Linked DNA regions of Danio rerio. The protein of the gene in region 6 purifies or fractionates together with the protein of the main gene of each other region. This does not show direct contact. Links are inferred from orthologs where the notes say so. Each region holds a gene or a part of one and is shown on either strand. Other genes may lie near its edges. The genes, in order: irf1b, mcm3l, smarcc1a, cdk1, chd4b, ep300b and foxo3a.

What was found.
Region 1: the proteins of ep300b (region 6) and irf1b purify together in Homo sapiens (affinity purification with western blotting; 3 studies listed by BioGRID). This does not show direct contact. The link is inferred for Danio rerio from reciprocal best matches to the Homo sapiens genes EP300 and IRF1.
Region 2: the proteins of ep300b (region 6) and mcm3l purify together in Homo sapiens (affinity purification with mass spectrometry; 3 studies listed by BioGRID and IntAct, with this or other methods). This does not show direct contact. The link is inferred for Danio rerio from reciprocal best matches to the Homo sapiens genes EP300 and MCM3.
Region 3: the proteins of ep300b (region 6) and smarcc1a purify together in Homo sapiens (affinity purification with mass spectrometry; 3 studies listed by BioGRID, with this or other methods). This does not show direct contact. The link is inferred for Danio rerio from reciprocal best matches to the Homo sapiens genes EP300 and SMARCC1.
Region 4: the proteins of ep300b (region 6) and cdk1 purify together in Homo sapiens (affinity purification with mass spectrometry; 3 studies listed by BioGRID, with this or other methods). This does not show direct contact. The link is inferred for Danio rerio from reciprocal best matches to the Homo sapiens genes EP300 and CDK1.
Region 5: the proteins of ep300b (region 6) and chd4b purify together in Homo sapiens (affinity purification with western blotting; 4 studies listed by BioGRID, with this or other methods). This does not show direct contact. The link is inferred for Danio rerio from reciprocal best matches to the Homo sapiens genes EP300 and CHD4.
Region 7: the proteins of ep300b (region 6) and foxo3a purify together in Homo sapiens (affinity purification with western blotting; 3 studies listed by BioGRID and IntAct, with this or other methods). This does not show direct contact. The link is inferred for Danio rerio from reciprocal best matches to the Homo sapiens genes EP300 and FOXO3.

The regions. Positions count from the first base shown.
Region 1 is NC_133196.1:49,886,135-49,890,107, reverse strand, and holds the start of irf1b (interferon regulatory factor 1b), read right to left. Parts: upstream 2,801-3,973; 5' UTR 2,688-2,800; intron 1,923-2,687; 5' UTR 1,918-1,922; coding exon 1,831-1,917; intron 1,743-1,830; coding exon 1,643-1,742; intron 1,393-1,642; coding exon 1,184-1,392; intron 581-1,183; coding exon 481-580; intron 344-480; coding exon 242-343; intron 1-241. UniProt on the Homo sapiens protein: Transcriptional regulator which displays a remarkable functional diversity in the regulation of cellular responses.
Region 2 is NC_133195.1:6,678,002-6,681,501, forward strand, and holds part of mcm3l (MCM3 minichromosome maintenance deficient 3 (S. cerevisiae), like), read right to left. Parts: intron 2,292-3,500; coding exon 2,083-2,291; intron 1,978-2,082; coding exon 1,803-1,977; intron 699-1,802; coding exon 572-698; intron 476-571; coding exon 325-475; intron 1-324. UniProt on the Homo sapiens protein: Acts as a component of the MCM2-7 complex (MCM complex) which is the replicative helicase essential for 'once per cell cycle' DNA replication initiation and elongation in eukaryotic cells.
Region 3 is NC_133191.1:46,881,464-46,884,963, reverse strand, and holds part of smarcc1a (SWI/SNF complex subunit SMARCC1), read left to right. Parts: intron 1-853; coding exon 854-939; intron 940-1,028; coding exon 1,029-1,110; intron 1,111-1,467; coding exon 1,468-1,560; intron 1,561-1,644; coding exon 1,645-1,714; intron 1,715-1,814; coding exon 1,815-1,884; intron 1,885-2,393; coding exon 2,394-2,469; intron 2,470-3,500. UniProt on the Homo sapiens protein: Involved in transcriptional activation and repression of select genes by chromatin remodeling (alteration of DNA-nucleosome topology).
Region 4 is NC_133192.1:22,200,037-22,204,155, forward strand, and holds the start of cdk1 (cyclin-dependent kinase 1), read left to right. Parts: upstream 1-1,319; 5' UTR 1,320-1,428; intron 1,429-2,075; 5' UTR 2,076-2,089; coding exon 2,090-2,126; intron 2,127-2,250; coding exon 2,251-2,407; intron 2,408-3,119; coding exon 3,120-3,243; intron 3,244-3,551; coding exon 3,552-3,722; intron 3,723-4,119. UniProt on the Homo sapiens protein: Plays a key role in the control of the eukaryotic cell cycle by modulating the centrosome cycle as well as mitotic onset; promotes G2-M transition via association with multiple interphase cyclins.
Region 5 is NC_133191.1:34,963,533-34,967,032, forward strand, and holds part of chd4b (chromodomain-helicase-DNA-binding protein 4), read right to left. Parts: intron 1,814-3,500; coding exon 1,644-1,813; intron 1,120-1,643; coding exon 930-1,119; intron 149-929; coding exon 62-148; intron 1-61. UniProt on the Homo sapiens protein: ATP-dependent chromatin-remodeling factor that binds and distorts nucleosomal DNA. Acts as a component of the histone deacetylase NuRD complex which participates in the remodeling of chromatin.
Region 6 is NC_133178.1:23,768,361-23,771,860, forward strand, and holds part of ep300b (histone acetyltransferase p300), read right to left. Parts: intron 3,164-3,500; coding exon 2,705-3,163; intron 391-2,704; coding exon 157-390; intron 1-156. UniProt on the Homo sapiens protein: Functions as a histone acetyltransferase and regulates transcription via chromatin remodeling. Acetylates all four core histones in nucleosomes. Histone acetylation gives an epigenetic tag for transcriptional activation.
Region 7 is NC_133192.1:7,929,738-7,933,918, forward strand, and holds the start of foxo3a (forkhead box protein O3a), read left to right. Parts: upstream 1-1,381; 5' UTR 1,382-1,956; coding exon 1,957-2,526; intron 2,527-4,181. UniProt on the Homo sapiens protein: Transcriptional activator that recognizes and binds to the DNA sequence 5'-[AG]TAAA[TC]A-3' and regulates different processes, such as apoptosis and autophagy.

The DNA.
Region 1 (3,973 bases), on a different chromosome or scaffold from region 6:
TTACCCTAACTTTACCCTAATTACCCTAGTGAAGCCTTTACATGTCACTGTAAGCTGAACACTAGTGTCTTGAAGAATATCTAGTCTAATATTATGTGCTGTCATCATGGAGAAGAGTACTGTGTGTGTGTGTGTGTGTGTGTGTGTGTGTGTGTGTGTGTGTGTGTGTGTGTTTGTGTGTGTGTGTGTGTGTGTGTGTGTGTGTGTGTGTGTGTGTGTGTGTGTGTGTGTGTGTGATTACCTGTGGAGTGCACTGGAGACACCTGGAATCGAGAGTAGATGTCGTTGCATGTGCTGTCAGGGCCGATCTCCACCTCATACCCAACAGTAGGACTGGAAGTGTCTGCAGGAGAAGACATGAGAACATCAGACTCCAGCTTCACCGCTCAGTCTGCACGTTTGCATATCTCAGAGTGAACTGTCCCCTTTAACACAGATGAGGGAAGCGTCCTCTGCTGCTGTGGGTCTGAACACACTTACGTGGTGTGCTCTGAGTGCTGTCGATGGTGTTCTCCTGGGTCATTTCTGCAGACGTGTCCTCACTGCTCATGTCCTCCAGCTTTACTTTCTGAGACAGACTCTGAATAATAACACACACACACACACACACACGCGCATGTTCAGATCTTCAGTTTAAACACACACACACACCTGATTTGGTCTGATTATTTGACATGCTCTGACTCTGCTTTATATATGTTTATGTTTGTTTTTCTCTGTTTTGATTGGTTGCTGGCATCTTTAAGGACATTTTTTTGTCATAAGTGACTTTATTTAGATTTTTTAAAATTGTTTGTTTAATCTGAAAAGTTCAAGACATTTACACATTTACCAAAAACATAAAAAAAAACATAAAAATGTCTAATATAAACACATTAATAGATATTTATTATTAAAAAAAATAATAATAAATTTGATTTTCACCAAAATTTAAAAAATTTGATAATAAAAATTTTTATTTACACTAAAATTATAATAATTTGATAATAAAAAATTTGATTTACACTAAAATTATAATAATTTGATAATAAAAAAATTAATTTACACCAAAATTATAAAAATCTGATAATAAAAAATTTGATTTACACCAAAATTATTTGGACAAAAATCCCAGAAATGGGATGCTTGAGGTGCTATACCTGACATATGTGTTGTGATTATTATAATAATGCGCTGCGCTCACCTTCATCCGCCGGCGGGAGTCTCGGCTCTTGGATCTCTTGATCTTCTTGCTGACGGCGGGGAGCATGCGGTAAACTCTCACCGCCCCGCAGCCCTTGTTGATGCTTTTATCCTTCACCTCCTCGATATCCGGAAGCGAGTTCATTGCACAGCGGAAATTGGCTTTCCAGGTTTTGGGGTCAGGCTGAGTCACTCCCTCCTTATATTTACCTGAAATGAACAGCACTACGGTCACATCCACTGCTACTGTATAGTGCACTCAGTAGAGCTTTACTAGAGGTCTTTACAACACTCAACACTGCACATGCCGACTCAACAACACTACATATCTGTTGCTTCTCTAGAAAACGCTTCTTGCTTTCAGAATGTTCAGATATTTAGACTCTATGTAAGTGTTAGTTGCAGTGAAGGAAACACTGACAGCAGTGTCACAGGTATAGATGATTGACAGCTCTCTCACCTGTGTGAATGGCCCACTGCTTGAACAGACAGGCATCTTTATCCACCTCCCAGCCGTGCCGAGCTGCGTGTTTCCAGGGGATGGAGAACATCTTCTCCTCCTGCAAACACACACACACACACATCTGTAAAGCTCTGCTGATGCTGGAACAGTGGCTTCTGATGAGTGTGTGCAGCGCTCGGCTTTACCTTGTTGACCCACATGAGTCCATTGATGGTGTTGGAGTCGATCCTGCTCTCCAGCCAGGGGCGCATGCGCATTCTGGACACGGGCATGACTTCTGCAGCACAGAGACAAGTGTAGGATTAGCGGAGCTGCACATGCGCAGATGAGGAGGCGTGTCTGTGGGCGCGCACAGCGCTGAAGAGTGTGTTTAGCTCACACCTCACCACGAGACACTCTGAGTTATTGTGCATTTGTTAAAAGAAAATTAACTTTAGGAATACTTTTGCATTTGTATTTAAAAGTCTGAATATGTGTGCGTGTAAAAGAGAAACATTAAGATTAATTCTGCATTTGTGGAAAATGATGATAAAGAAGAATAAGAGAACACAGACAGAAGGAAACGGTCATGTTTCTTTTGTATTGTATGTAAAGTGTGTTTCCTTTCAATAAAACATATCAAATTAAAAATAGACATTAAGAGTAAGTTCATATTTGTAAAATAACTATATTAAACATTAAGAGTACATCTGCATTCATAAAAAATAAAAACATTTACAATTAATCTGTAAAAGCAGCAGGAAACGCGCTGCTCTGCTAAACAAGAGTTCAGAAATGTCCATTTAACATGCATTCATCACTGACAGACAGAACTGAGAGTCCTCAGAGGGCAGGATGAACAGAAATCTGCACATTATCCACACACACACTTGATTATTTCAACTCAATTCCAAACTAAATGTAAACTGAGTTAATTAAATGCATATGACCAAATTTAACCCAACTTTCGAGCTTGTCCATATTTCATGGAATTGAAGTGAAATAAATACCCAGCATCATATACAGCATATAAGAACACATCAGGCATAATCACAACACTCACCAATAGAGCGAGGGTAAATCCTACAGTGCAGAGCGCAGCGAGAGTTGGCCGTGTGAAGGCGTGAGTAAGTCCTCAGTGAGAAGAACAGCTGAAGTGACTGTGCTGAAGTTCAGGTTAACTGTACTGTGAGCAGGGCTCTGCTGCTGCTGCTGTATATATAGAGCCGAAGACGGCGCGGGGAATTTTCCCTGCTCTAGCAGGCGCATGCGCACACAGGCAGCGCTCCACACAGCGAGGCTGATTTCCGAGAAATCATGCTGTATAAGAGAGAGACGGACTACGTGCGGAAGACAATTCAGTTTGGATAAACACTCTCTCACACACACACACACACACCCTCAGCATACCACAGCAGCATACTGCACACACGCCCACGCGACACACACATATGCGATTATCCCAAACACAACCTCACAATCATCAGTTACACTTCTACAGCACTGTTCATCCACTCATTCATTTCAGCTTAATTCCCTTATTAATCAGGGGTCACCACAGCGGAATGAACCGCCAACTTTTCCAGCACATGTTGATGCCCTTCCAGCTGCAACCCAGTACTGGGGAATCTCCAACAGTGTGTGAAGTTGATGTATTAGAGCTGTGTGTGTGTAGTGGCTCTGTCACTCTGTGAGTGCTATCATGATTCAGACAGCAGGTTAATTCTGCACTGTTCAGTGTGTGAGTGTCTCGTTATGGAGCCGGTATAAAGTGCAGCGGGTCGGGGTTCAGTCTGCAGAAGTCAGTCGGTTTCCGGGAAATGTTGCAGAGTCTGCCGACAGAGGGCGCCGCTGCTCCGGCTCTGCTTCCTGTAAGAGTCTCCGTTTCAAAGAAACCGTGCTGGAAGCCTGACAGCCAGAAGCGTGCTCAGGAGGGTCATGACGGAGCTGCTGGATATGTGTGTGTGCTGCTCTGTGGTATGTTAGGTTTCGAGATGTGTATTTCTCACAGGCCTCAAAACCGTCCAGAACTGCGAGTGGATTTCATTCATTCATTCATTCATTCATTCATTCATTCTTTCATTCATTCATTCATTCATTCATTCATTCATTCATTCATTCTTTCATTCATTCATTCATTCATTCATTCATTCATTCTTTCATTCATTCATTCATCATGCATTCACATGTATATTTGTTTGTTTTGTTTGTATGCATGTATGATTAACTTTGTGTTTGTCCATTAATTCATTCATTTACAAGCATGTTTGTGTGAACGTTCATTCATTCATTTGAATGTTTGTACATCATATCATTATATCATACATATATTATTCACAAATTATACAT
Region 2 (3,500 bases), on a different chromosome or scaffold from region 6:
TGGATGCAGTGGTGCAAATGATCTTTAAAAGATTTGTTAAAAAAAAAAATAATAATAAATAGTGGGTTCGCATAAAAATTATCTAAAACTGCATGTAATGTTTCTGTAAAATTTGCAATAATTATTTTATGTTATAAAATAATTGTTTTTAAAATAATTACAGTATATGTTACTCTAATGTCCATATTTGCTTTGCTAGTACCCAAAAGTGTCAATATGTAGATTTAAAGACTTACTCTTCTATACAAAGTCGATTTTACAACATAAAAGTGCCCCAAAAGTCAAGCATAAACCAAAGGTTATACATAAGTGGACATTACAGACCCTTGCAGAGTCACTGTTGACTTGGTCGTGGCTCCGGAGTCTAGAATATTCCTCCGCTATATAGTCTGATGCCTCCTGAGTCAACACTGGCTTCACCAGCTTGGCCACGTGGATGTACTTCCTGATGAACTCCATTGTAACAATCTTCTCCCTTTTCAAAAGGATTATCACAGAAACTCACTCATGCTACGCAACTTTTTTTCTAAGGGAACAAAGACCATTTATAACTAGATGAAGAGAAGCATACCTTTTCTTCCTGTGGCCATGCAGGACATTGTCTTTTTTCTCATAGATCTGCAACTCCTGCTCAGATGCTTCTGTGATGTTTGGGTCTTCTGTGGCGAACACGTCCACTGTACTTCCCAGCGGCATTGCTGTTTGTGCAGACACAATACTATTTAAAACAACATTTCATTTTGTGATTCCAAAGCTGAATTTGTAACATACTTTCTCCGGTCTTAAATATCACAAACCAGTTGTAATACACACTTTTGTCCTTCTTAATTGTCAAGTTGAATTAATTTTCAGTTCTGAATGTAGAAAACTACTATTCCTACTTGAAATTTTTTGTGGAAACTGACATTTTTTGCAAGATTTTTTGAAGAATGGAAGGTCCAAAAGATCACTACATATTTGAAATATTCATATTTAACAATAGTTTTAAACAATGAATGCATTCTTTATGAATAGAAGTAATTATTTCTTTTTTAAATAATAAAAAATTTAAAATCGTATGCCAAACTGTTCAATGGTAGTAGTAGATCACTTTTACTGTACCACAAAAATGAAGCAAATAAATAAATAAATAAATAAATAAATAAATAAATAAATAAATAAATAAATAAATAAATAAATAAATAAATAAATATATATATATATATATATATATATATATATATATATATATATATATATATATATATATATATATATATATATATAAAAATAAATAAAAAGGTTGTGTTTTTACATTTATTCTATACTGGTGAACGCTACATTTGAATAAAGTAGTAAAAAAAAAAATCCTTTGATTAGTGTTTTTCCACCCCATAATTACGACTTCTCTTCTCAGAACTGTAAAAACCAAATAAAATTAAAATGGTGATAAATGTAACTTGCAATTCTAAAGGGGTGGGGGGTGTATACTCAACTGGAGTCAAAAAAAAAAAAGGAAAATTCCATATTTATAAAATGTTAGCACAAAATTGCAAGTTACAAACTCGATTACAAAGTAATAGCTTACAAGAAAAAAAGAAAATTCAGAAATGCAAAAAAAAAAAAAAACAACTTAAAATGTAAACTTGAAATTGTCAATTCTGAGAGAGAAAAAAAACCTATCAAAGTTATCAGCTTGTAATTCCACCATAATTGTTCTTTACAAGCAATTGAACTTATGCCAAACAACAACAAGCTTCTAGCACTTATCTCCACTCATCTCTAGAGGTGGTTGTGTTTTGTCCAGCAGAGGTCAGTCTCACCTGTTCCCTCTGCTTCTCCCGGTGCTCTGTAGCGATGCATACGCAACACATGCTCAGAGATCTCCTTATCACTGTCAGGATCCATCTGATCCAGAACTATGAAGAGCAGATCAAATCTGGAAAGCAAGGAATCCTGGAGCCCGATGTTCTCCATGGGGGTCTTATACTGGTCATACTTGATAAATTAACCCAATTGAACACATTAGAATTAACAGAATATTAAATTCTCAATTCTTAATAGAAAGTACTTATACCAGTCAAGCCACCAATCAATATTTACCCTTCCGTACACTGGATTAGCAGCAGCTAACACACTGCAGCGAGCGTTCAGCCTTGCCTGAATCCCAGCTTTGGAAATGGTGACCCTGCCCTGCTCCATCACTTCATGGATGGCGGTTCGGTCCATGTCTGACATCTTATCAAACTCATCAATGCAAACCACACCTCTGTCAGCAAGCACCATAGCTCCTGCCTCCAGACGGCGCTCACCTGCAACAGCCAGAGGAGAACAGGCACAAATTCATTCTCAGCTTCCTTGCATCATGCTAAATTAAAAAAGAAACACTGCACTTTTTTGGAAATAGGCTCATTTTACAACTCCTGTAAAAAATTTTTAAAAATCCATTCAGCGGATCTCCAGGTCTGGCAGGAGCATTTTTAGCTTAGCATAGATCATTGAATCAGATTAGACCATTAGAATCTCACTCAAATAATAAAAAAAAGTGTTTTGATAATTTTCCAATTATACACTTGACTCTACTTATTCTATTCTTGAGTTACATTGTGTATTGTGGCTGCTGCACTTACAATAATATTATGCAGGGCTGTTACCTAGTTAGCTGTGGACTATTTTCAAGCACTATGTAATATTGTGTTTGCTTCAGGCATGGTATTGAATCAAAGTTCCTTGATTATTATGCTGGATTGAGAGTATAGTTTTTAGCCACATTGACCTAGAAAATAGCAACTTCTTATTTTCTGTTGGTTTTACAACACGCAAGTCGATTCTTTATATATATATATATATATATATATATATATATATATATATATATATATATATATATATATATATATATATATATATATATATATATATATATATATATATATATATATATATATATATATATATATATATATATATATATATATATATCCAGACTGACTGAATGAATTAAAAAAATAATAAAGCTCAGCTGTTTAACTCTACACTCTCAAGAAATAAAGGTACAAGAGCTATCATTGGGAAAGTACCTTTACATATTTGTACCTAAAGCAGCCTTTGTGGTACCTCAAAGATACATATCAGTACCCAAATGCACCTAAAATGTACCTTTGAAGTACTAATATGGACTTTTCAGGTACAAATATGTATCTTTTGTAAAGGTACTTTCCCAGTGACAGCTCTTGTACCTTTATTTCTGAGAGTGTAGAGTTAAACAGCTGAGCTTTATTATTTTTGAATTCATTTAGTCAGTTTTGTTACCTTTTAGCCTCGCATAGACCATTGAATTGGATTTTAACTCAAAAATAAATAAATAAATAAATAAATAAATATAATATCTTGTACCTTTATTTCGTATTTCGAGTGTATGACTTGTAAAAATGAGTCTAACCAGAGCAGGTTGGGCTTAAGGGTTAGTTAACAGCCGGGCTATGTACAGTATGTGTCCCTGGACCAGAAAACCAGTCATA
Region 3 (3,500 bases), on a different chromosome or scaffold from region 6:
GAGTTTAACAGTCAACTATATTAATGACAACTTTGAAATGAAAAGTCGATGTTTACAAACAGCATTCTTCCCAGAATATCACACTGAAGAAAATATTTCTGAAGGTTTAAAAAAAGCTTTAGCATTATGGGGACTTTGTGAAGAGCAACACTTGACTATCACCTCATTTATTATATGTTGTCTGTTTTAAAGACAATTTTACTACAGTTTTGTTTATTTAACCTAATACTATATTATTTCATTGTGAAATGTTTTGTTATGCACTTATTGTGCAATGAATACATTTAGAATGTGTGTATGTAGCTTGTTTGAAAACTCAAAAACAGTTGCCGCAATCGCAATAATCGTTGAAAAAATATCGCAGTTTTATTGTTTTGTCTATATTGCACAACCTTAGTCACAACTGACCAATCAGAATCAAGTGTTTCAGAGTGTTGTGTGATTAAACAAGACATCAGATATGGCACATTGAAAGTCAAACATTTTTGCTCAACAAATAAGTAATGAGGTTTATTTTTGCAAAAAAACATTTGAACTTTTAATCGATCTGGCTATTTTTCTTATTTATTGTCTCACAAATAGATTGGTGGAATGGATCATCAAAATGGATATGCTATATTTATTGTGGTATCTTCACATAAATATTGATCATCATTTATAGTATAATTTTATATGACATGAGGGCAAGTATCTGGCAGTATTTTCATTTTTACCCTTTAATGTGTTCTTGGTCACACATTAAACAGCAGAACTTATTGGATGGCTGTTATAGAGCTATAATGCATACAAATGGTGCAATTTCTTTAATAAATGTATATAGTTATTGATTATGTATTTGTTGCTATCATTCAAGGCAAAGAGCTTTCTGGACTTCAAACCTGGAGGAGCCCTTTGCCACATTTTGGGATCTGCATACAAATTCAAAAGCGAGCAGGGCTGGTGAGTTGAACCTCAGGAAGGGTTGACTTGATTGTTGTCATGTTCACAAACCTAGTATGCTTAAAATTGCTTTGTCTGTATTTTCTCAGGAGGAGGTTTGATCTTCAGAACCCATCCAGAATGGATAGAAATGTGGAGATGTTCATGACTATTGAAAAGACTCTTGTTCAGGTAGAGATTCTTGTGCATGCGTCAAGTGGTGTGTTGATGCCTGTCAGGTTTGGTTCTCGGCTCTGCTTGCCCTGGTATTGGCATTTATTTTATGACTGTAAACAGTGCTATTCAAACCCTGGCTTGCAGACCAAGACCCCTGGAAATCTGGGGCTTATTTCTAAAACTGAGATCAGTTGTATATCTTATTTTTGAATTGGACCAAAAGATTTAAAAGAGCCAAACTAACACCTTAATATATATAAAAACAAAAAAAAAGTTCTTTCATTTTTTTTTTTTTATACAAATGGTCTACATAATTCTGAATATATTACATTCATGGTTTTCTACATGTTGTATTTTTCTTTTGTCCTGCAGAACAACTCTTTGACCAGACCTATTGTGTACATTGTGTCTGACGTTGAGCAGAAGCAAGCCAACAAGCTTAAAGACATCATTAAGAGACATCAGGTAAAAAAATAAATAAATGGTAATGATTGAAAAGGCTTTTTTGAATTCGTATGGTGTTTCTGATGTTTTACCTGTCTCATCTAGGGAACCATCACTGAAGACAAGTCAAAGGCCACTCATATTATTTATCCCTCCCCAACCCAGATGGAGGAAGGTTGGTTTTGGTTGTTATAGTATCTGAACTTGGTCATTTTTCTTCAGTCATTTATAATTGATGTTTTTCGTAAACTGAATTTGTGAATCCTGCTTTTCAGAGGAATGGCTGCGTCCTGTTATGCGCAAAGACAAGCAAGTGCTTGTTCACTGGGGATATTACCCTGACAGGTTTGTAGTACTGCAAAGCATAATGATGCTTTAGGTTTAAAAGAATAATTCACCCCAAAATAAAGTATTTCGCACATTTCTGTGGTTAGTTTTATCCATGTTTTTGAAATGCATAAATAATGCTTAATGAAAATTGCATGAGCTCAATTTTGTGCCTAAAACATATATTCTCAAATGCAATAAGAAACTCAGAAGGAAGCTTTACAAACAGTGCGCCAGTTTTAATGCACACAAATGTAAATGTTGTTTTAAATATCAAAGTCTTGCATCAAAATGAATCTGTTAAATTACCGTCTCACAACATTGTCCAAACATCAGACATCCTGCTATCATGCCACCTTTCTCATAAAAGAAACAGTTTTGGGATGAAAATTGTGCTTGTGAGTTGTTGCAAATGCAAAATTCCAATTTGTTAGTTTGTATAAAAACAAAGCTTTTGCCCGTACTGTTGACCATGATAAAGAAAAATTGTTTATTGACATTAAAGTTGACTTTTCTTCTTCTTGTAGTTACGATATATGGGTGTCAACAAGTGATGTGGATGCAGATGTTGAGGATCCTCCAAGTTCTGAGAAGCCATGGCGGGTAAGAGAACCTATACATGCTTTGTTAGTCTATAAAGTAGTTTAAACTCTCTTCAGATGCCTTACATCAGTGGTTCTCAAACCTTTTTCATCAAGTACCACCTCAGAAAAAATATTCTCTCCAAGTACCACCATAATGAATAGTATTGAAATACAGTAGCGAAGTGGGCCCAATAAAGCAGCTACAGCTCATCACAGTTAAAAAATGTGGCACATTTATTCCTATTATTAAGAATATTTATTATTATCAGCCACTTTAAACATTATAAAGAGTCTGAACATTAACACTGCACTGTGCTTATATGTAAAAAACAAATAAATAAATAAATAAATAAACTAAAAACGTCAACATTTAAATTTAATTGTGCTTTTAGAGGTTACAAATGGTAGGTTCTGTACTTAAACACCTGGAAACATTGCCTGGACCTAAGAAATATACGCTATATGTCATCCATTCATATATAAATTATTTTTGATAAATTTTGAAATATATGTAACATGTACATGTATGACATAATTGATTCCTATGCGTACCACTAGAAGGATATCCGCGTACCACTAGTGGTACACGTACCACAGTTTGAGAACCACTGCCTTACATTATGAAACGTATTTGCATTGTAAGTGATGCCACAAGGCTGATTTATACTCGATGCATCCGCTAGTTCATTTTAGTGTGTGCACGGTTGTGATGTCATCACGGTATTTGCAGAGGATGCCTGTGGGTGCGTGCTTCATGCTTTTGCTGGCGGAGCGCATGCAACTTTTTGAGACACAGAGCGTGTTTCATTTGAGTTGAATATGAATCACTTTAAAGGGATTTTGGTTTGCCTGTACAGACATCGTTATGATCATCCATGCATGATCATAGGGATAACCAAATGGGCAATAGTTCCTGGCTAGAAATTGCAAGTTTTTGTAAAAAAGTTTAGAAAAACTTGTGGGATGAGTTCGTTGAAGCCAAGGGGCTGTGACAAAAGTGGGGACCCAGGTTGTTTTAATACACAATTACAGATGTTTTTTTTTTTTCCA
Region 4 (4,119 bases), on a different chromosome or scaffold from region 6:
TTTACACTGAGACGGTAACATTTTCAAAAATATTTTCATGTCCCCAAAACAAGATTGGTATGTAACGATGTTCAGTAATAATAATTTTTAAAAAGTTAAACAGTGTAAAAAGGTTCAAATCAATATTTCTATTTATTATTTATGTGGTAAGACGCTGTGTCATAAAATTGACGCAATCTGACGGTCATTATCATAAAACAAATCTTAACATGGTGATAAAAATACCAGGGTCTAAAACAGAATAATGACCACATCCCTTATAACACAGAATACTAGCATTCTTTAAAAATATTGATTAAAAAAAACACCCAAAATTAGTTTGACCTCCTCTATCCCAATTCCTACAGCCAATCAGAGTGGCTCAAATATGCATGGTAATAATTTGTAACTAATCACTTCTTTAATTAAAGTCTCTACCTCTGAGAATTTAGGATGGAATTGAGATTTTATCCCGGGGACTAAGCCTCCTTTATTTCTCTGTAATTAGACAGCCTAGTTATGCTTCATTGGGCTTCTGAGAGCTTCTTTTAAATGGTTCTGTTGGGGGGAAATAAACTTTATTAAAAATTGTTTTTTTACTTTGTGACCCCACATCAAATCTTTCTGAAATCAAACCATGTAAACTAGAATACTACTACTAATAATAATAATAATAATAATAGTCCAATTATAAAAGCTAATAAGTAGCTTTTCTACACAATATTTTACACGTGTCTCCCTCTCTGTCTTTTTATATAATATACATATAACAAATAAAAACGTAAATATAAATTAGCATCTGTTGGAGATCTGGTTAAATAATACTGAAAAGAACAGTCCAACAGTGACACCAAGTCGTCAAAAAGAGTAATGCATGCGTGCTCGTCTGTGTACCACTCAAAATCAATATGTGACCATTGTATGAGACTCACAATATAATAATTACATTATTTGTTTGTTGTTTGTCGTTACAAATGTAGGACATTTAAGACACAAGACTGCAGCAACGAACGCAATGAACTAGAATGTCGGTTTTAGGGTAACTAAAGGACGTTAGAGATGTTTCGTCTGAACACCCACTACCAGTGATATACAGCAACAAGTGTCTGTCAAAAACGTAAAAATCGCTATTCCTACCTGCACAAGGACTACTTTGAACTAAATATACAACAAGCCGCGCATGCGCACATTATCCAACACAGACGCCGCTTTCCTCCCGCTCCCAACCGCTCTATCATCTGATTGGTTGATTTTGAAGTCCCACTGAGTGCGCTGATTGGCTGCTTTTGAATTACGTCCACGCGGCCAGTTTGAATCAAGGAACTCGCAATTCAGCAGGACACACACACACAACATCCGCAAGCTTTTTCATTCCTCTAAAATTTCGAGAACTCTGTTGGACGTAGGACAGTTTGATATTCATCCATATTAGATATAGTTACAGAAAAGGTGAGTTTTTAAAAATCCATGATGATGATTGACTGTTATGTTAACGATTTTGATTCTGATCGCGTAACATTAAGTTGTTTGGGCCCAACTGAGCAAAAACTACTTAGTCATTTAACTGTAAGTTGATACTGTAAACTTTACTGAATGATGTTTTTGTTTATGTAATTTTAACGTTGCAAATGTACGTCCTAAATAAAACAGACGGTTGATCATTGGATTTTAGCACTAGTTTCTGCTGCATCTTGATTTTCCGTTGCCACATTGCTAAGTTACTTATTTTTCTCATGAAAACGTGTCTGACGTTACGAGGTTTTTAGGCACAAAATTATGACTTTGGAATTATGAAAAAGGATTTTATCTAATGGTTGTGATTTTGATGTCAACGCCAAAAGCTAAGACCTGTTCAGTCAGTCTTTTAACGGTACACATAATGTGTATATTTGACATCCACTGTAACTTTGATTGCTTTAGATAGTTAGTTTAAAGCAAAAACGAACAAGTTTAATGAAGAAAATAAAGAGAAAAGTTTCATTATGCATCCAGACTTTTTTTCCTCTTTCTAAAAATAAAAAAAAAATGATTCTGAAAATGTCATGTTATGCTGTCATTAATTTACTTTTTTTATTCTTTGTGTTTTTTCAAAAAAGAGTGTTTGGGGAAAATGGATGACTATCTGAAGATAGAGAAAATTGGTGAAGGTAAGATTTATCTTGTGCTTATTGTCATTTACATTAGCTACTATTATTCTTAGCTAGTCTCTAAATAATAAAACTGAGAGTGTTTTTAGTGAATGTCTAATGTAAATATGTGTGTGTTCTTTAGGTACGTATGGTGTAGTATATAAGGGCAGGAATAAAACCACAGGACAGGTGGTGGCGATGAAGAAGATCCGTCTGGAGAGTGAGGAGGAAGGCGTTCCCAGCACTGCTGTCAGAGAAATCTCCCTCCTCAAGGAGCTCCAGCACCCAAACGTTGTACGGTATGACAGATTTCATTACATGTTTAACAAAACAAATAATTTAGAGTCAATCAGATTTACTGTACAGAAAGTGCTGTTTGTATGCCTGTCTCTGTGGTGGTGGGTTAAAGACGGGTTGGTCTAATACAGCTTTATATTTTACTCTCTATCCATTGGAATGTGTTTGGTTTAATATATTTGTCCTGAACAATAAAAATAGTTATGACAGGATAATTGATGTCATCACCCACAACAAAGTAATATATTTTAACAATATTTAATATACCTCGCAAAAAAAATTGATCAGCATATTGTTATATCAGGAATTGTGTGATGACATTAAAATGCTGTTAAGGGTTCACAGTTTAAAAATGTATGTAGGTTGATAAACTACTACTCAAATTTGGGTGCTGTTTTTAATGCTTACCAATGCTTTGTTAATTTGATTAAAAACTATTGTGAAGTCTTACCACAGATTAATGTCTGTTATAAATGATGAATTTTCAGCATTATTACTACAGTCTTCAGTCTCATTATTCCTCAGAAATCAATCTAACATACCATTATTACTCCAGTCTTCAGTCTCAGTGCTTCAGAAATCATCCTAATAAGTTGATTTAGTTTACATTTATGTATATTACTAGTATCATAGTATAAACAGTTTTTGTTTTTCATATTTACTATGACAGTATATGTACTATTTTTACAAATAAAGTGTTTCTCTTTTTCCCAGCCTGCTAGATGTGCTGATGCAGGAATCCAAATTATATCTAGTTTTTGAGTTTCTGTCCATGGATCTGAAGAAATATTTGGACTCCATCCCATCAGGCGAATTCATGGATCCTATGTTGGTCAAGGTGTGTATTTTTTTTATTATTTTATATATATATATATATATATATATATATATATATATATATATATATATATATATATATATATATATATATATATTTTTTTTTTTTTTTATTTATTTATTTATTTATTTATTTTTTTTTTTTTTGGTACTGTAAATACAACGATTTTGTTTCATGTGCCTTTCATGCCCCGAAATACATAAATACTACATTCCTCAATGTTTTATAATGGCATGTGTTTGGATTCTATACTATAGTATTGAATGTGTATCTTGAAGTAACCGTGCTGATGTGTGTTGTCTATGTAGAGTTACCTTTATCAGATCCTGGAGGGGATTCTGTTCTGCCACTGTCGCAGGGTTCTGCATCGAGACCTGAAGCCCCAGAACCTGCTTATCGACAATAAAGGTGTAATTAAACTGGCAGATTTCGGCTTAGCCCGTGCCTTTGGGGTCCCAGTAAGAGTCTATACTCATGAGGTAAGTACACACATCCCACAATGGAGGCCACATTTCCATCCGCTATTACATTCACACTTAAAAAAAAATAGACATTTTTGTAATTGAGTAAAGGTGACATAAGTGAAAATTTAACACAAACTATCTTCTGTCAACTATATACTTCATTTATACCCTAAGAAAATCAAAGAAAATACTGAATGTGTATTATAGATGTATTCTTCGAGCTAAACCTATGATTTCTTTAAATTGGAAAAATGGATGTACACCAAATATAGGTTACTGGCTGAAAGAAATGGTTTTAAATACGACAGTAAAAAAGATAACCTATATATTAAAAGATAAATGCAAGGTTTTTGAGGGAGATCTTTCAAATTGTTTAGTTGTACTTTTTTAAATTAACTTTATCATATATTGT
Region 5 (3,500 bases), on a different chromosome or scaffold from region 6:
AATGTATACATGTACGACAAACTTTTATTAACAAAAATAATGGTTTCAATTTGTTTCTTACCTTCAGATCGTTCATCAAAGTCCTCATCACCCTCTTCTGAAGCCACAGAGTAATCTGATTGGTTATCAGACTGATCATCCTGCCAGTCTGAGAATCCAAATGAGTGGGACAAAATATTTATGAGTATTTGGGTTGACTTGCAGAGGAAATATTTATTTGAAGGGAACAAAACAATTGGGATTCATGCTCACACTCAAAACAGAAAGGTCAAATGTTTAAACAAGACTGGAGTTGATTTCATAAGTTAATATAATATAATATAATATAATATAATATAATATAATATAATATAATATAATATAATATAATATAATATAATATAATATAATATAATATAATATAATATAAACATTTATAATCAATGTGTAACTGCATAATATATCATAAACAATATAATGTAATTATCGGTATAGTATACACTTTAAAACATCTGTCTCTGTCAAATTACTTTAACATTAATTCTAACTTTAACATTATTGTGAAATGTTGAAAGAAAATTCTCAACAAAGACTGCATAATTAAATAAGAATTATTAAAGTGATAAATGATCGACTTTTGAAATGTCAGATAAATTATCACATTACATTTTAGTGCCTAATATACAACATATCTTCCGCATTTAATTTTAAAAGAATATGAGAACATTATTTTAAGAATAAGTCTGCAAACATTTGACTTTTAGTTTATCTATTATCTATTTAAATAATAAACAATAATAAACAGACAAAACACAACACACAAAGAGTAAAGAAATCTTCCAGACCTTGAGATCACACCAATACGTTCGTCTTTATCCACAGCACACGCGCACATACTCACAAACATAAAGGGAAAGAGCAGTAAAAAAGGAAATAAAGTGCGTCTGTACCCCGTCTACTACCTCTGTCCTCCTGTGAACAGTCATTGTAGTTAACAGGTTTGCGTGGCCGTTTGCCTTTGCCCAGATGACGAGCGAGATCTTCCTGCTGCTGCTCGTAATGATGCCGCAGCAGTTTCTCCCAGTAATCAGGATCTACACTCTCCTCCTGCTTAATGATCTCTCTATCCACATCCTCCTCCTGCGAAATACACCATGTTATAACACATGCAGTCAAACAAAAAAATTATTCTGCCACATTTAGTATAGACGGTTATTATTATGAAGGACTAAAGCACACTATAGGTGATGTAAATGAAAAAATATAGTAATTTATGCCATATTATATCCAAATATTCTTCAAAGTAACTTAAAACCAGGATAAAGTGAAGCAGCTTAAGCAGTGAAAAAATATTGAAGATCGGGTTGACAGGGGAGACTACAGGATGTCATTGAGGCTAAAGTAAACCAACAATGTATTGATAATTGTGCAACTATACGCTGTGGTTTTGGTTGATTGTAATCCATTGCATATCATACTTTTCTTTCCATTATCTGACATTATCAAGATAAACTTATTCTGATATTTTATAAGCATTTTATAAGCTAAGGTGAATAAATTGTGATATTGTGAGAAATGTCAAAGATGTCTCAATAAAATTTGGTTCGACTATATATAATACCAAAACAAACCAAGCACAGACAGTGAATCGCACTCAAACTCACCTCCTCATCTTCATCTTTGACCACATATTGGGCCACTTTAAATGAGCTCAAGTATTCATTCATACTCTGCAGTTCTGTGTCCTCCGTTGCGTCTTGGTTTCGATCCAACAAGCGATCAATCGCCTTGTCATCATAGTGAATAACACTGCTGTCTTCTTCTTTATTGTCACCTGGATGGGAGAAATTTATTGAATTTAGAATTGATTTACTTTGTCCCAATCTTGTATTGTGCCCATTTCCATTGATTTCCTATATTTACTTACACAACTCATTTACTTCCCATATTAGTTATTGCTATACATACTTGATGCACTGGCAATGATAAGTATTAAAAACTGATAATGCTTTTCTAACGCAAATCCGTGAGGGAAAGACATAGTGATATGGTAGATAAAAATACAACGGCGCTGATTTAAAGTGAGTGGTAAATAGGTCACAGAGAAGGTGATGCTATTTATTTCAGCCCAAGGCTCAACAATAATAATTTTTGGCTGGCACAGTCAGGCCAATATGTCAGATGTTTACCTTTAACATTTTCCCATCCAGGATCAAATGAATGCCTGCTTCAAAGTACATTCACAAAACTGATTTCATATGCATAGAAAGCACAATAAACAGTTGAATTTTCAACCTGCTTTAAACTACAATGCCAAAATATGGTTGAAATAATGTTCCAGCATCATATTCATGTAAAATAATCCAACATACTTAAGCTGACCTGTACTTTTAAATCATTTAATGAAATGAGAGAACATACATTTTTTTTTATTCTAAATGATAAAACAATTTAAATTGGGTAAAACCTAGTGATAAAAAAATTATAAGGATTTAAAATGGTTATTAAATAATACTCTATTAAAATGGCTATTTAATTATGCTTGACTGTGAGCATAATATTTTGGGACTGCACTGTGATCCTTAAACACTTACTGGATTTTAAGTATTCTAAGTGGATTCAAGTATTTTAATGTCATTTAAAAAGGTTTTAAAATTTGAATCACAGGTAGCTACACTGTATAAACTAATGTTACACTGAACTACATTTTAAAGGGTGTCTTGTGTACTGTATGGTTGTAAAATTCAGATTTACAGGGAAAAATGAAGGCTGTACTATACTTTCCTATGTACTGTCAATACATGTATATGCATGTATATGGTCAAATCCATATTTAGCAGAAACCATTTTAACCTCCTAAAGCATCAGAGTGAAACTGATCTTACTAAAATACACACTCAGGGTGTCATGCTTAGTTTAAACCTCTAAATAACGCTCAACTGAAAGCAGAAGTTCACCTCTACACCATGACAACGTTTATGCATATGAAGTACTGATTAATTCACAAAATAATTCACCCTATTGCTGCGTTCACATCAGATGTGGATGAAGCATCAATCGCGATTTACATACTAAGTAAATTGTTTCGCACAAATTGCTTGAGTGGAAAAATCTGAACTTCTCTTGTAGAGGCATGTTTATGACATAGTGCTTGTCGTTAATGTCCCGAGGGGAAATCCTCTTGCTAACACCGGACAACACTTCATCAAACTGGGCTTGGCACAGTCAGAAGCACCGATGAAAGCCTCCATCTTCCAGGTATAATTTCTGGAGGAGTTGATGTACTCCATTGTTTCCTCTAGGATTTTTTCCAGCTGTGGCGGCAGACTCTGTTGGCCATTTTACACAGATCTACCAATACATGTGTCTTTATTTCATTGACAAATGTCATGGGCGCAGTTTTAAGTTGAGATTGCATTCATGTAATAGCCTACGATTATGTCAATCTCTGCTTGAGCGCCGATTTCTGTTCGTCCACAAAACATCTTGCGCGCCCTCAAATATACGCTGCTCAGGTGCAG
Region 6 (3,500 bases):
GTATAAATGCATGACTACACTCAAGGCATGCACTGTGGGTTATAGCAATCACTCAAACAGAAGTATAATTTAGCCTTAGGGTTAGGGATGGGATAGAAATTAAGCTGGAAAAGAAAGAATCAGTTTTAACATGTAAAAGCTCTTTCCCTCGCTCACCTCTGGTTTCTCCTCAGACTTGATCTCGGTCTGCATGGCGGCCATTTTCCCTGAGGCCTTGTCCTCAGTCTCATTCTCATTCTCTTCCTCTTCATCCTGCTGTTTGACCTCAGTTTTGGAGTCAAGAGGGGCTGTGGGTTCGGATGATGTCAGTTGTGAACTAGGGTCAGCACTGCTGACTGAGGCAGGAGTCGAGGCCTGACCGTCCACAGTCGCAGATGATTTCTGAGAGAGCTGAGGGGTGGTACCACATCAGAACAGCAGATCAGGACAAAAAGCAATGGCACACCGAAATGAAAGGCAACAGCCAAAACAAACCAGCTGTTTCTAAGAAAAATAGCTGAAAATGTAATAATAATTATATATATATATATATATATTTTTTTTTTTTTTGTGGCCTTTTTTAAATAAAGGTACAAAAAATTATAATTTAAGTGATTTATTTTGGTGTTTTAGTTTAATTTGTAAATATTCATTTTTTATTATTATCTACATAACTTTGTCTATTTTAGTACTTTTTAACAATGTTTGATTTATTGTATAATTCTTGTATTGTTTTTTTAAGTTGTTCAGTGACATCAGATGAAAAATAGCCTTCTGGCTAATTCTGGTGCATTTGCAGGAATGCTTATTAATGTACACTGTCCCTGCCAAATAAACAAACAAACATTTGTGGTAAAAACTATCCAACAAATAAAAATAAAAACATTAATTATAAAATATAACCAATTTATTATTTATATACAGTGCTCAGCATATATAAGTACACCCCTGACAAATCAATTTCAATTCAAATTCTGTTTAATAGAGAGCTCTACAATATTATATTTGAGCATATACATTAGATTAGTCAGTACTGAAGCAAAAAGCTGGAGCTTATCTAAAGAAATAACCAAAAATAGCCAAAAACTAGTACACCCAAATTTATATGTTATAGAAAGAAATTAAATACAAATCTAAAAAAAAGGAAAAATCAAGAAAAGCAAAAAAATAAATAAAAATTAAGTTAAAATTTTGTAGATTGAATATTTTTTGCAATATTTTGCTTGAATTTAATTGTATTGTCTATCAATTTCTAAATATGTTTGGTGACTAAAACATTATTTTAATATATATATCTGTTTATTAAATGTGTTTTGTTTAAATGCACCAAAATAGATAGCCTCTATTCATTGAGAAATAGATACAAATATTAATTTTCAAAATTTCAAAACTCAATTATGAAAGAAAGAAAATACTTTTCTTTATTATCTTGATTCTCATCTCTGCTTGATCATTGATTAACTGATTCGCAAGTTCTTTTAAATTCAGCTTCTTCTGCCAGTTGTATTTAGGCTTCATTCATTAATTCATTCTTCTGTCATAGCTGTTAACAAAATGAGTAAGATTTTATTTTCTGCAATAATCCAAAAAGGAATTTGAAAAAAAAAATCTGGATTTTTGCCAATGAATCAGGGTGATGCTAACTGCATCATTTTGGCATGTTTTGTCGTCGTTAACAAACAGGTAATAGTAAATTAAAGTCAGAAGGAATGACTAACAAAACAGTAGCATAGGAGCTGAAGAAAAAAATAGTGGAAAACAGCCATTGGCCAAAAAACAACCTCTCAAATAGCCAAAACTAAAAAGAGATTTTAATGGCTGAATATTTTATAAAGCATCATAGATAATGTAGTGTTCACCACAGATTCCAAAATTAAACCATTTGAAATTTGTAAAATAAAGTGTAAAATGCAGAAAAGGCTTCAACAGAATAAGGTCATACAACATTACACAACATAAGGTCTGTCTTTAAAAGTTTTAGGGTTTTAAAAATGTAAAGTTTCTCTATATATATATAGTGCTTTTACTTATAGAATATTCCCTTTTGCACATTTAAAAAGGTTTAAGAGAGCAAAGAATCCAACACAATCTCAGGGCAATTAGTAATTTGATGTACTGAGAATATTGTATGAATTTATATAACATACAAAAAAAATCAAAAGTCTGACACTTTCATACAATTTTAAAAATTATATTTTAAATAATAATAATAATAATAATAATAATAATAATAATAATAATAATAATAATAATATTATATGCATTCAATTCTAACTAGCCAAGGATTAACCAAAATATAAAATAGCCAATTTTCCAGTGAAATCAGGTTGAAGAATCAACTTAAATGAGCTCAAAATGCTTTAGCGCTTACTCACTGAGTTCATGCTCTTAAATCATTTAATTATAGCCAACTAGTGTAAACAAAGCACATAAGAGATTAATGGTGGAGTTAAGTTATACCACAAGCATTCAAGCACATGGGTCGACTTATACTGAACTCAAATATTTGACCTCTTCACAGTGAAACATGCTCACTTTCTTTATCCAATTTGAATTAATGCTGTTGGTCTCGCTAATACTTTATGCTTCAGGACTCCGTGTCAAAAGGGTCAGTATGTGTTATCGGAAATCAATTAAGTCTCTAATGTTGGGCTTGAGTTGTACTTTCTTGTTATTTACCAAATAAACAGGGTCAAATGAAAACACACTCGATTGTGATACTCACAGGACTATGTGGGTGTGTACAAAGCCCGTGGGCGTTCTGGGAAGGCACAGATGACGCCAGCCCTGTTTGGGGGCCTCCAGTAGCTCCACCTCCATGCGACTGCTGTTGTAACTGACTGGATTTTTCGGAGGCCACCCCCTGTGCCATAGGGGGCAGCTGTGATGCAGGTGGAGCCATAGTGGTGGATGAATTAGGGGTGTGGGGCTGAGGGGTCTGGTTACCAGGCAACTGCGGGGGTGTTTGGTGCGGGGCAGGGGTAGGGGTGAGGCTACGTGCGGGAGAAGGGGAGTTTTGGCGTAAGGGAGGACAGTGCGTGTGCAGACCGGGCTGAGGAGCAGGTGGAGGGTGGTTGGACGGAGGCCCCTGAGGGCCAGCAGCGGCTCCAGAGACTGGGACTGACGACTGGGACTGAGCTACAGGACTATGGACTGATAGTGATGGTGGAGTGGGCATCTGATTCTGAAAAAGACAGAATATAAAAGGATGAATCTGATTGTTTTACAACATTAATAAGTATTTAAAACATTTTCTTTAGTGTTTTAGCTCACTATATAGCTCAATGCATTAGAAATGCTGAAGTGATTGTAAGTTTATGGTTGAGTTCAAGGAATTGGTTTAAAAACAGATTTGAGAGTTCACTTAAAAAAACAGCATTAATACGCCAGTTTGTTTTAAAATGATTCTGTAAATGAATTCTGTGCGTTACTGATTATATTTAGTACATAGGGCTGGGCGACAAAATAGGTATTGGTATTTAATGAGTGAACACGATTGTCAATATTGATCAAAAAAAGTT
Region 7 (4,181 bases), on a different chromosome or scaffold from region 6:
ATTATTATTATTATTATTATTATTAAGTAGGATATTGTTTATTTATTTTTTGAAAAGTCTACTTTTACAATTTGACATGTAAACTATTGCAGATAGTTCTAACTAGCAGGCTCATGTCATATACAGTACAGATACCTAATAAATAAGCTACTATAAACTAAAAGCATTAAAGTATGCTGTGTTTTTGTTTTCACAAGCTTTGGTGCCGTAACAAAAATTCCGCTTTTAAATAATATGTCACCTATAGCTTTCGTCATGAGGCTGTGTTCAAAATGACATCAATGTTTTCAAAGTGCACTACGAAGTGAGCGCAATTGTAAACATGAAGATCACTAAAACTGAACTTTAAAAATACTTTGAAGGCAAATTACACCTAAGAGAGATGACCTTAATGCTTTTTTTATTTTTAATAATTCGAACTTTGAATTTTAGAGTGTTCTAAACGAATAGGGCATAGGGGGGATAAGTGGGAATAGAATACAGCCAGGAACTATGTTTCTAACTACAGCTCCAGAGGTGTAGTCGCAAGTGCTCAAGTTTGCATCGCAGTTTGTGAATGTTTGTTGGAGCCATGGATTTGGGAAACGGCAATTTAACGAACTATGTTTGTATCGACGGAACTTGCGAACTTAGTTGGCTAACGATAGTTTTGGGAAATGCACCCCAGTTTAAAAATATCATAATTACAAAGTAAAAGTAAATAGAGACCTTCAAACTGTGAGAAAATGCATTGAGGAATAATATTTCATATAGAAGTTGTTGTTGTTTTTTAATTGCTTGATCCAGTTAATTTTGAAGGTATACTTAAGAGTGGTCAAATCTAAGAAGTTTAAACCTCCATTTTCAATTGTTCATAACTACCGATTTCCTTATATAATTGGGTTTATTTTTTTTTTATAAAACATTAAAAAGCATATTATCAATAGTTTTGGAAATATTATTGTTGACTGCTAAAGAAAGAGGTGTATACATAAGTCTTGAGATTTCCTTTGCTTTTGTTATAAGCTCTCTCCCTCTCAAAGATAGGTCTCATAATAACCAATGATTTCGTGTTGTCTTTGTCTTATCAATAATAATGAAGAAATTTCTCACAAATTCTCTTTTCCTCATTTACAATCTTTATACCCAAACATGTGATTTCATCTTTTATAGGCATACCACAAACAAGATAAATCACAATCCTCAAGAGGCATATAATGATGATGGCATATGTGTAATGTGTGTAACGTTAGATGACGTGTGTGGCAGTTCTGCGTGGCCCTTTAAGAAGCAGTTCCTCCGACCGCTTCCAGGGGGCGGGTGTTCTGTGTGTTGCTGTTCCTCTCTGTAGTTTTGCAGCGGAGATGCAGCGCATTACAGGCTTTGCCAGTGCTGGATCGCCCGGGCTGCGGGACGCGACGTCCTGCTCCGACATGGAACAGGGATCATCATGGAGGTTTATCGGGATGAACGGTGTGTCTATTAGGACTTATCAGTGCTGATTTGCGGAGGGGCGGCTTGTGGAGGTATGGCTTGATCATTCGAGGACACTTTCGCGAACGCACAGTTTTTCTGATCGCATTCGATTCAAAAGATTTCCCAGAACGGAAGCCGCGTTCTGAAACAATGTAACGTTCGCATTATGATGTAATGATACAATGTAACGAATTCGCTGCGCGACGTCATGCAACATTATAACAAATTCGAACGTCCGCTCTGCCTTTATGTGTTCGAACAACGGAAGCTTCATTAGACGTTAAATATCCGCGCGATTCACACACGGATGAACCAACAATGCCCTCGAACGCGTTTGTAAACATTCCCAATCATCTCAAGACTTCGATTAAATCCTCAAAGCGTCCCGTATTGAAATGCGGACTCCAGAAGTGATCCATTAATGGCATGCACGAGGGCACTGCTGCTGTTGTGTTCCGAAAAGCCGTCCATACATCATTCATTTGAAGGAGTCGAGGAAATATGGCAGAGGAGCTAGATAAGCCTTTGGCTGTGGACGTCGACATAGACCCTGATTTTGAGCCCCAAAAAAGGCCCAGGTCTTGCACATGGCCTCTGCCCAGACCCGAGTCCAATTCGGGCAAAGCAGAACCTTCAGATGTGGGGATCATTCCTGAAGAAGAGGTAGATGAAAATGGCACTGATGATGCTTGTGCATCTGGTGACATTACAGGCGCATCAAAGCCTGCCAGTGTCACAGAAGGAGACCCGAGTTCTGCTGCTGCTCTTCCTGCCATAGAAACGAACGCTTCTGCCAATGATAAAGACATCTATGGCTCTCCTGGATCTTCCCAACACGCTCTAGCAGCATGCAGCGACTCCAGCATCAATGGTCTGATTCCTCAGCAGCCCAGAAAATCCTCTGCCCGCAGGAACGCCTGGGGAAACTATTCCTACGCCGACCTCATCACCCAAGCCATCGAGAGCTCGCCAGAGAAGAGGCTGACACTGGCCCAGATTTATGATTGGATGGTCCGAAATGTGCCATACTTCAAGGACAAAGGTGACAGCAACAGCTCTGCAGGATGGAAGGTACGTCAGGTCAAATGTTTTAACCTTGGCTTCCTTTTAACCCTTTATCAGACAGAAAACTCCTTTGATATCATATTGATTGCAAGTAACTGAAGTCCAAATTAATTTTTGAAATATTTAATTCCTTTAGAATTTCATGAGATGTATCTCCCCAGGATATCTTGACTGTTTAAGGCAGTGTTTCTCAACCATGTTCCTGGAGGACCACCAGCTCTGCCTATTTTCCCTGTCTCCTTAACCAAACACACCTGATTTAGATCATCAGTTTATTAGCAGAGACTGAAAGACCTGTAATGGGTGTGACAAGGGAGACCTCCAAAACATGCAGTGTTGGTGGTCCTCCAGGAACATGGTTGAGGGTGTTAAAAGAGGGACTAAGTCATTATTATTATTGCTTTTCTTTTCTTAAAAATGAGATTCTGACTTCCCAGCTTATTTTAAAAGCTGCCAAGCATATTTAATTAATAATTTTAAACAGATTTCCTTCAAAGTATTAATTATAATTTTTCCACCACAATTACAAGTAGCAAAAAACATATTTTTTAACCCTACAAAAGCAAAGACCGTAAAGGATTCATCAGATAATTAACCTATGACTTTTGTCCATTTTATTATAACACAAAAATACAACTTTTTTTTTTTTTAATCAAAACATGACCTAAATTTGATTGTAATGTTTGTATCCCCCCCAATACATTGCCTATTTTATGGTTAACATGCTGTATTTATGTTCTAAATATTAATTTATTGCTTGTTTTCTCTCTTTGGCATCATAAAAAAAATTGTAGGGTGGTCTGATGATGAAAACGTAGACCACTTGTCATGTAATGTGTGGTTTGCTGATAAACTTCATACCGCTGTGCTCATGCCAAAGGGTGTATCAGCAGATAAATAAAGAAAGGTGCCACTGATAAAGAAGACCTTTAAAATGGCCCCTGCTTGCCTCTTCATTTCCTAGTATTGAGGTTTGATCATTTGAGGTTTTTCATCAATAAAACCAATACAATCGCACCATTTTCTCTTTTTATTATGACATTTGAAACCCACCAGTGTGCAAGTCTCTTTTTCTCTCATCCCTGCTTGATTTCAGGGATTAGTTTGGCCTGGAAAAGCAATTTACCCAACATGGAATCAAGTCTAATGAATACTCCTAGTGTAGCTGGATTTGAGTTAGAGAATAACCCCGGGAAATCCCTGCAGATGTGAAGCTATTGAGCTGCTGTTGTGCAGATGTTGTCACATTTAAGCATGATTTGCCACCTTAATAAACAATCTCTGTGCATCAAGAGTTCTTGATTAGTGGGTTTTGAGTTACATATTTGCTCTTTTTAAGTTGTTTATACATATTTAAGATGCAATTTTGTATGCAAAAATTCTGATAGGCAGTGCATATTAGCAACACATAGATAAAAGCAACATTTAAAAACAAAATATGTGTTTAAATACTTTTATATTTGCTTTAAAAAACAAAACATCTTTAGATATGTTTGCAAATCGAACAGTCATCCGTGCTCGGTGCAGATAAAGCCGTCCTGCAGAGTGTTTGCATCTGCCTGCCACTGAATGAGGGAAAAAAAGAGAAACCATGGGCATATCGTGAGTGTCAGGGCTGCTATTGGCTGTTCGGTCCCCACCTCCACTTCCCATTGGCTCTA